2 linked regions of the Drosophila melanogaster genome follow. The gene in region 1 interacts genetically with each later gene. Each region holds a gene or a part of one and is shown in the gene's direction. Other genes may lie near its edges. The genes, in order: Prx3 and Prx5.

Region 1 (3,720 bases):
ATGAAAGTGAGAGAGAGAGCGAGTTGGAAGGAAAAGAGACGGCGAGGTGCGTGTGAATGTCGGCAACGCCTACAGAGAATCCCCGAATCTTCGCATCCTGGCCAAATCCTTCGCGAGCGGCACACGAGCACGGTGCCTCAAGTGCTCAAGTGTTTGTTTAAATTATGCAAATCTGCGCAAATCCTGCGGGCGGGCTGGCCATCGGACAAATAGCGATACCCATCCCGGATTCGAACTGGTCTGGATTCTCGCAGACAAAGCGACGTGCACTTTTAATTGGTAAAAGTAGTCCAACTGTCTGGGAATTAGTGCACGGCCATGGATTTTCTAAGCGTGCTCGGGGAGTTCCTGGAAATCCCTGCTATACACACACACACACACACACTTTTCGGAACCCCTTGCCAATCTGTCCGTAATTACTTAGCGCTGCCTTTTAACGGAGCCCACGACCACATGACCCCAGTGCCGAGGCCCCAACTCATAAACAAGTTAACGACCAGGTACACTGAGAGAAAGAAGTGCTACACATTATTAGTTCAAGCTCAAGAATCAAATTAAAAGAAAGGTATACATTCTTCTTAAAGGAGATATTAGTTAACTTGAATTTTATATTTAAAAAAAAGTAATAACGTATTCATTTGTATATGGATCTCAAAAATAGTTTTGTTTTGTCTAAAAAAAAGTCTTTTTGAGTTTTTGTTACAATATTATAGTTATTACCCATTTTTTCAAGTGTTTTTTTCGGGAATGGTTAAATGGAATGCGAAGAAGGACGAGTGGGCTGGTAGCCACTTGGAGCGCGTAATTTGCGCCAAATTACAGATGAAAAGCAGCGAAAATTGTAAATGGCGGGGGAGCGAGCTGAGGAGTTGGGTGGCATAGCGCCACCCCTGGCAGGGGATGCGAAATGGGGGAGGCGAGCGAAATTGCAAACATGGGAATTGACTAATTGCGGGAAAGCAAGAGAGTCGAGCGCCATTGGTGGATATGGGCTTGGATTCGGGAATGGAAATGGAAATGGGAACGGACAAGGAGCGAGATGTGTGGGCGTTTTGGAATCCGTCAGATGTTTTGCCAACTTCAGACCAAATATGCAAAAATATTTGAGGACACGCATGTATCTATCGTTATTGTTTCGGCATACCAAGCCGAACGCGGCGGCATCTAGCTGGATACAAAAGTATCTAGATCGGGCATTGTAGCCGGGAAAAGACAAAACCAAACCCTCCTCGAGAAGGGAGAGAATCCAAAGCCTGGGCAACTGAGCCGCTTTCGGGCATTTAGTGGATTAACGAGCGGCGAACAAAACGCATGTAGTGCAAATAGTTGGTTGGTTCGCCGGGTAAGAGGCTCATTACCATTGTGCGGCGTGTGCAGTACGTGGTAAATATTTTGCTACACTTTCCATTATCCATCGCCGGCCTCATTCCACCGTGGACAATGCACAAAGGACACGGCAGGAGAAGAAGATGGACTTCTGAGGGGTATGCGGCTTCTAAGGGATATGAGGCGGTGGTTTCTAATATAATCAGAGCAGCACATGTGAAGAGGTGATCAGAAGATACGTGCTTATCTCTGATCTTCAAGGCATGTTCGTCTGCAAGGATTAAGAGAGCGATATATAAAAGAACACTTTTAAATGTAAAACTAATAAACAGAGAAAAGAAGTTAAAGTTTTTTTGATCATCACATTTTTAATATTAATAGATCTTTGATCGTATTTAATAGACTTTTTCAAGTTATTTGAAATGAATTATAATATTTGAAAAAATGAAATTGAATATCGCGCCACATAATTATCGATAGCCAACCTCAAGTACTGTGTGGCCAGCTTCCTGTGTATTTTGAGCTTTAAGCAGAGCTGGTTACACCCTGCTGTCAAGTTTGTTTTCACTTTTTTTACGAAAAGTTCTGCCGGCTTACCGTCAAATTCTGACTTAATATAAGCCTTATATAAACGTTATCTATTAGAACAAGATGTCTTTCGTAGCACGCTCACTGATTCGCAATGTAAGTTGGTCGAACGACCCAGAGTTGTTCGAAAACATGCCGCGGCGATTACGTAATTGGCTGAAACCGCGTTCTAATGCTGAATCTTATATATTATGCATTTTAGGTGCCGCTGATGGGCAAGGCCATCCTGAGTCAGCAGAAACAGATTGCCGCCCGCCTCCTGCATCAAAGTGAGTTAAGATCCCCAACATTAAAGCCCTATAAACAGATAGATTCCACGATTCGTTGGGATCTGGGCAGAAAGCCAATTTCAAAGTTTTGTATAATATTTAGCCTAAACATGTTTCTTAATCCCTTTTAGCCGCTCCCCTTGCGGCAGTCCGCGTCCAGCAACCTGCTCCCGATTTCAAGGGTCTGGCTGTGGTGGACAACAGCTTCCAGGAGGTTAAGCTGGAAGACTACAGGGGCAAGTACCTGGTGCTCTTCTTCTACCCACTAGATTTGTGAGTAAACTGAACTTTGCATTGAACTATTTCCTTATCTGCGATCCCATTTGCAGCACATTCGTTTGCCCCACCGAAATTGTTGCATTTAGCGAGAGGATCAAGGAGTTCCATGACATTAACACCGAGGTTCTGGGCGTTTCCGTGGACTCCCACTTCAGCCATCTCACCTGGTGCAATGTCGACCGCAAGAACGGCGGAGTGGGCCAGCTGAAGTACCCGCTCCTCTCCGATTTGACCAAGAAGATCTCTGCCGACTACGATGTGTTGCTGGACAAGGAGGGCATCTCGCTGCGCGGCACCTTCATCATTGACCCCAATGGCATCCTGCGCCAGTACTCCATTAATGATTTGCCCGTGGGCCGATCCGTCGACGAGGTTCTGCGCCTGATCAAAGCCTTCCAGTTCGTCGAGCAGCACGGAGAAGTCTGCCCGGCCAACTGGAATCCCAACTCGAATCCGGCTACCATTAAGCCCGATGTGGAGGAGTCCAAGAAGTACTTCAGCAAGCACGGCTAGAGGATCATCTGATTATTTCTTAAACACCCTAAACATTCACTACACCAAAAGACTCGCAAAATAAAGAGGATAAAGATTGGAATTTTCTGTATAACAATTTAAAAACAAAAACCCTAGGCATCGCACTAACTAATTATGCCTAATAAATCGATCTTACAGATGTGGGAATTAAGCATTTCTTTTGTGAGAATCAGCTTCACATACTAATTACTATGCTTAATTGCTATTAAAACTGCCGATTTAGTGGTTTTATCGTTTTATCCGTCCTTTATTTGAAGCATCGTAAATACAAATTAGTTTTGTAGATTTGACTCGGTTATCTTTTATGGTGAAAGCGAATATGTGGTCCGGGATTAAAATTACGTTCATAATTGATTGCAGGGACAGTCTCACAGGGTCGAGCACTATCGTTGGAGCAGCTGAGTGTTCTCAGGATCGATCTTATGAAGTCCAAAAGCTCAAGCGGATGGCGGTGGAGGTGGCGGCGGCTGCGACAGGCTCAAGGCTGGTGGCGGCGGTGCGCAGGGCGGAGGTGGAGGCGGCGCATAGCCGCCGCCCCAGCCACTGTAAGCGCCACCACCCCACGGCGGCATGGGCGGGGCACTGGTGCCGGGTGGCGGCGGGATTAGCGGTGGCAAGGTGCCCGGTATAGGTGGATTCAGCGGTTCTGTTGCCGGCGGCGGAGGCTGCGGTGCGCTCATCCACGGCATCAGCGGCGGCGGCATCGGAGGCGGTGCTTGAGTGC
Region 2 (4,249 bases), 620 kb from region 1:
TTTCGGATTCCCATTTAAATGTTAGCATCAACACTTTATGCAGGTCTTCAGGCGTTTCATTGTTTGGCATTGTTCATTTCGCATAAAACTATACTCGAAACGAAAATAAGTAACAAAAATGCCAAAACACTGGCGCAGAGAGAGCGTACTTGAAAAGAGAGTAGAGAGAGAGAGGAGAGCAAGCGAGACGAGCAACAAGTTGAGAAGCAATGGCCGTCGACCAATTGCCAGGGTTGCCAGACATGCCAATAGAAATGGGGAAGGAAGAGCGCTTTTGGGTGGTGTTGGTGTTTTTCAAATTTTTTTTTCATTTCTTTTTGGAGGTGCAAGGATGGGCAATCATCAACACAAGTATTGTTGGGGCACCCAGCAAGTACTCATAAGTTTTGTTGTTGCAAGGAAGGGGTGAAACAGAGAGGGAGAGAGACGGAGACAGTCGAGAGCGTAAAAGTAAAATGTGTACTAGGCACGATTAATAGTTGTAGTTGCACTTCCAAGACTCAAACACACAATTATTATTAAATATATATATATTTATATATATATATGTGCACATATATAAGTGGGGAAACAAATATAACTTTGAATGTCAAGGGGCGAGGTTAATTTGTGGGTTATATTTTCAGAGGGGGGTTTTTAATGGGTCTTATTTCGCCAATTTACCGCCAGAAGCTGCAAGAACTTGTTCAATTTGGCCCTGCTGCGATATAGGTTCGCCAACATCAAGTTCACTGCTGATAAAAGCTAGTTCTTTGCGTAAAATGCGAATTCTAACAAAAACGCTTGCACACGCACACAGAATCACAGCACAGCGCACACACACACACGCACACCCCGCTCTCGCGTTAAAATTCAGTCGTCGAGGCTACACGAATTATTTGCGCTGCAATTTCTTCGATCGCTGCGATTCGCTTCGATTTTCGCGTGCGAATTCCACAAGGCTCGCTCGCGAATTTCACACCCAATAGCTCGGCGGTCTATCGGCACCGGGGTCAAGTTCACCTTTTCGCTTAGAACGCACAACATCAACGCTCTGTGCAATTGTAAATAATAATTTATGTAAACTGTCTTATACACGCAACGTTGTCGGTGCTCAATAGAAAATAGAGTTACCAGGGCTGCAGGCGTGCGGCGGCGTTGCCTGACCCAGCCGACCCTCGATAGTTACTTTTAGGAAGATTTTACCGACTCCGTTTAAAAGCTAAAACGAGCTTTTGCTTATGCTATTTACTTATTTATATTTACTATCTTTATACCTTACTCTCCTCTACTGTCTTATTGCCAAATGCGAAAGACTTAAAGATCATTATTAATTATAATAAACCGAATGTTTACAAACTGTTATTTAATTGTTGATCTCACATTATTCTTTAATTTTGTAAAATAATAACTTCGAGTGGTTTTCGATAGCTTGTACATAATTTGTGCTAGCTGCATTAAAATATTAATAATTTTAAATAACATTTGGCAATTTACAAGAATCATATATATGTACTATATATTAATATAAGGAAATATTTTTGTAAATTATATATTAGCAAATATTGCGGCACTTGTTTTACAAACCAGGGCCGCTTGGCCTAATGACACTTGGTGGCAATACAGGTGGCAACGCCAAAGACAGATTGTTTATATCGCTCGACTTCTCGAGTTTGACTTTTAATTTTTTAATAAATTTTACGGCAATTGCTATGCAGATAACAATCAAGGTGCTGAAGGGCAAGGACTGCACCATCGAGGTAAGAATGAACCTTGCCAAAATCAAGTGAGGTCGCTAATATGGTAATATTTCACACAGGTGGCGCCGACATCGACGATTCTGGAGGTGAAACACCAGATCGAGGCGGAACTGCAGATATCGGCTACAAATCAAAAGCTACTGCTGTTGGGGCGACCGCTTAACAATGAACAGACAATTGCGTCATATCCCAACATCAAGGAGGGCACCAAACTCAATCTGGTGGTGATAAAGCCCTGTTTAAGGGACAGCATCCTGCGGGGATTCCGCAAGCACTATTCGGAGCCCCTAGCTGAGCGTATGACCAATGAGTTTATGGCCGACTTCGAGCGGAAAATCAACGAGCAGAGCCTGGACGACCTGGAGAGACTGGCGGACAGCATAGTCAACAGAGCGGCCACATAGCGCCATTGAAGACCCAATACCAACCACCACCACCCCCTCCAAAAATATGATGGAAGTCTATCCTTACAGCATAATATTTTTATTTCCCCCCTTTAAAAAAACAAACTAACTAAAAAATATGAGGTAGTAAAAATTAAGACTTGACTGAAAACACACGGCCCATATTCTTTTTTGCGACGGTCTGGCAACGCTCCACCGGCCAGTTGCAGTCTTTGGCTGTGTGCGTGCGTGCCTGTGTGTGTGAGAAGAAGAAAGAGAGGAGAAATGCGTGTGCTGTCGTGCAAATTTCTTGGCCGAGTTGTTAACTCCGCGCTGCCCCAACAAATCATTTCACTGCGATCCCTGTCCAAAACCAGTGCAGCTATGGTGAAAGTAAGTGCAGGTTGACCGGCAAACGCGGATTTCCGGCTGTGCGGCAGTCCGGATTCCATTACATAAGCCGGTGCCGAGCTGCATAAATATTGATTGCGGCGGCACCCAGAAATTACAGCGTTTCAAGGTTATCGCCTCCATCTTGCTGCCTCTTTTCTCTAAGTACGCCTGTCTGCCTCCCACTTTATTTCCAGGTAGGAGACTCCCTGCCATCGGTGGATCTGTTCGAGGACTCGCCAGCCAACAAAATCAACACCGGCGATCTCGTCAATGGCAAGAAGGTGATCATCTTCGGCGTTCCCGGCGCCTTCACTCCAGGCTGCTCAAAGGTGCGTAGGTAGCATAGTTGCAAAGTCATCTGCTTTGAGTTTCCGAATATTGTAGAAACTTCCAGCAGTATAGTGTAATTTATGCAGCTTATGTATTCCAACTGAATAATGCATTTCCCCACACCCACAGACCCACTTGCCCGGCTATGTGAGCTCCGCCGATGAGCTGAAGTCCAAGCAGGGCGTGGACGAGATTGTCTGCGTTTCGGTCAACGATCCCTTTGTGATGTCCGCCTGGGGCAAGGAGCACGGAGCCGCGGGCAAGGTGCGCCTCCTAGCTGATCCCGCCGGCGGTTTCACCAAGGCCCTGGATGTGACCATCGATCTGCCACCACTTGGCGGCGTGCGCTCAAAGCGCTACTCGCTGGTGGTGGAGAACGGCAAGGTGACCGAGCTGAATGTCGAGCCCGATGGCACCGGACTCAGCTGCTCGCTGGCCAACAACATTGGCAAGAAGTAAATGGAATCCAGTCAGCCCGAAAACACTAGAAACTCATACATGCTAATGCTAGGCCGCAATGATATCAATTACGTCTTCAAAAGAACTATGTAAAACGTACAATATATATGCGATTAGAGATGTTATGTCTAAGGGGTATGCTTTAATATCTAATTGGGGGGCTTATAGTCTTTACAGTCATTTTATCTAATAACTAGCGATTGTCCGTGTTGGGTGCAATCTTCTGTGACAACAGTTTGCCATAACCCCCGCGGCCGGCATCGTAATCCGTGCGGTATTCATCTCGCACCTGTCCGCCGGTTTTGCCGCGTCCATACTGCCTGCCCTCCACGAAGCCGGCGTCCCAGTCCACACGAATCAGACGGTCGTCCAAGCGAGTGCCATTCACAAATCTTTTGTGGGAGAAGAAAAGAGTGTTGAAGTTAGTTAAGAGATAATGATACCCCATCTGATTACTTCTACAAATGCCGGAAAAAAGGCGGCTTTTTCTAGCGTGGAGAGATGGATATGGCTCACCTCATGGCCGCCTCCGCCTCCGATCGGACATAGTACTCCACGAAGCAGAAGCCGCAGGGCGTCTTCTTATACTTGTCCAGGCCCATCACAATCACACGAACATCGCCGCAGCGGGAGAAGAGCTCGTGGATCTGCTCCTCGGTGGTGTAGAAGCTCAAGTTTCCCACGTAAAGTGTACACGAGTCGCGGAGCGATCGCTCTTGCTCGGAGCGCGAGCCCTGCAATTGGTTTATTGAGTCGGAGATCTGCTGTGGCGCCTTCGGATGTACTCACCTTGAAGTGCTGATCGCGATATGAGCTTAATTCCACAGATGCGAACATATTTTTCAGCTACAAACTATTGAAATATTTTCTCTGCTTTTATTTAGTGACGGCACTCTATTGACTGATACTTCGATAGCACTTTGAAATATGAATCGGTGAGCTAGT

Evidence for each region.
Region 2: of Prx3 (region 1) and Prx5, changing one enhances a phenotype caused by changing the other (phenotypic enhancement), as found in Drosophila melanogaster (one study listed by BioGRID).

The regions. Positions count from the first base shown.
Region 1 is NT_033777.3:17,544,646-17,548,365, reverse strand, and holds Prx3 (peroxiredoxin 3), read left to right. Parts: upstream 1-1,834; 5' UTR 1,835-1,977; coding exon 1,978-2,010; intron 2,011-2,116; coding exon 2,117-2,183; intron 2,184-2,314; coding exon 2,315-2,456; intron 2,457-2,512; coding exon 2,513-2,975; 3' UTR 2,976-3,144; downstream 3,145-3,720. Other genes in the region: SF1 (splicing factor 1), read right to left, coding at 3,434-3,720. UniProt on the Drosophila melanogaster protein: Thiol-specific peroxidase that catalyzes the reduction of hydrogen peroxide and organic hydroperoxides to water and alcohols, respectively. Plays a role in cell protection against oxidative stress by detoxifying peroxides.
Region 2 is NT_033777.3:18,164,621-18,168,869, reverse strand, and holds Prx5 (peroxiredoxin 5), read left to right. Parts: upstream 1-1,596; 5' UTR 1,597-1,691; coding exon of another isoform or gene 1,692-1,739; intron 1,740-1,798; coding exon of another isoform or gene 1,799-2,143; 5' UTR 2,144-2,407; coding exon 2,408-2,515; intron 2,516-2,709; coding exon 2,710-2,844; intron 2,845-2,974; coding exon 2,975-3,304; 3' UTR 3,305-3,428; downstream 3,429-4,249. Other genes in the region: CG7215 (uncharacterized protein), read left to right, coding at 1,692-1,739, 1,799-2,143; Cbp20 (cap binding protein 20), read right to left, coding at 3,498-3,696, 3,821-4,038, 4,094-4,141.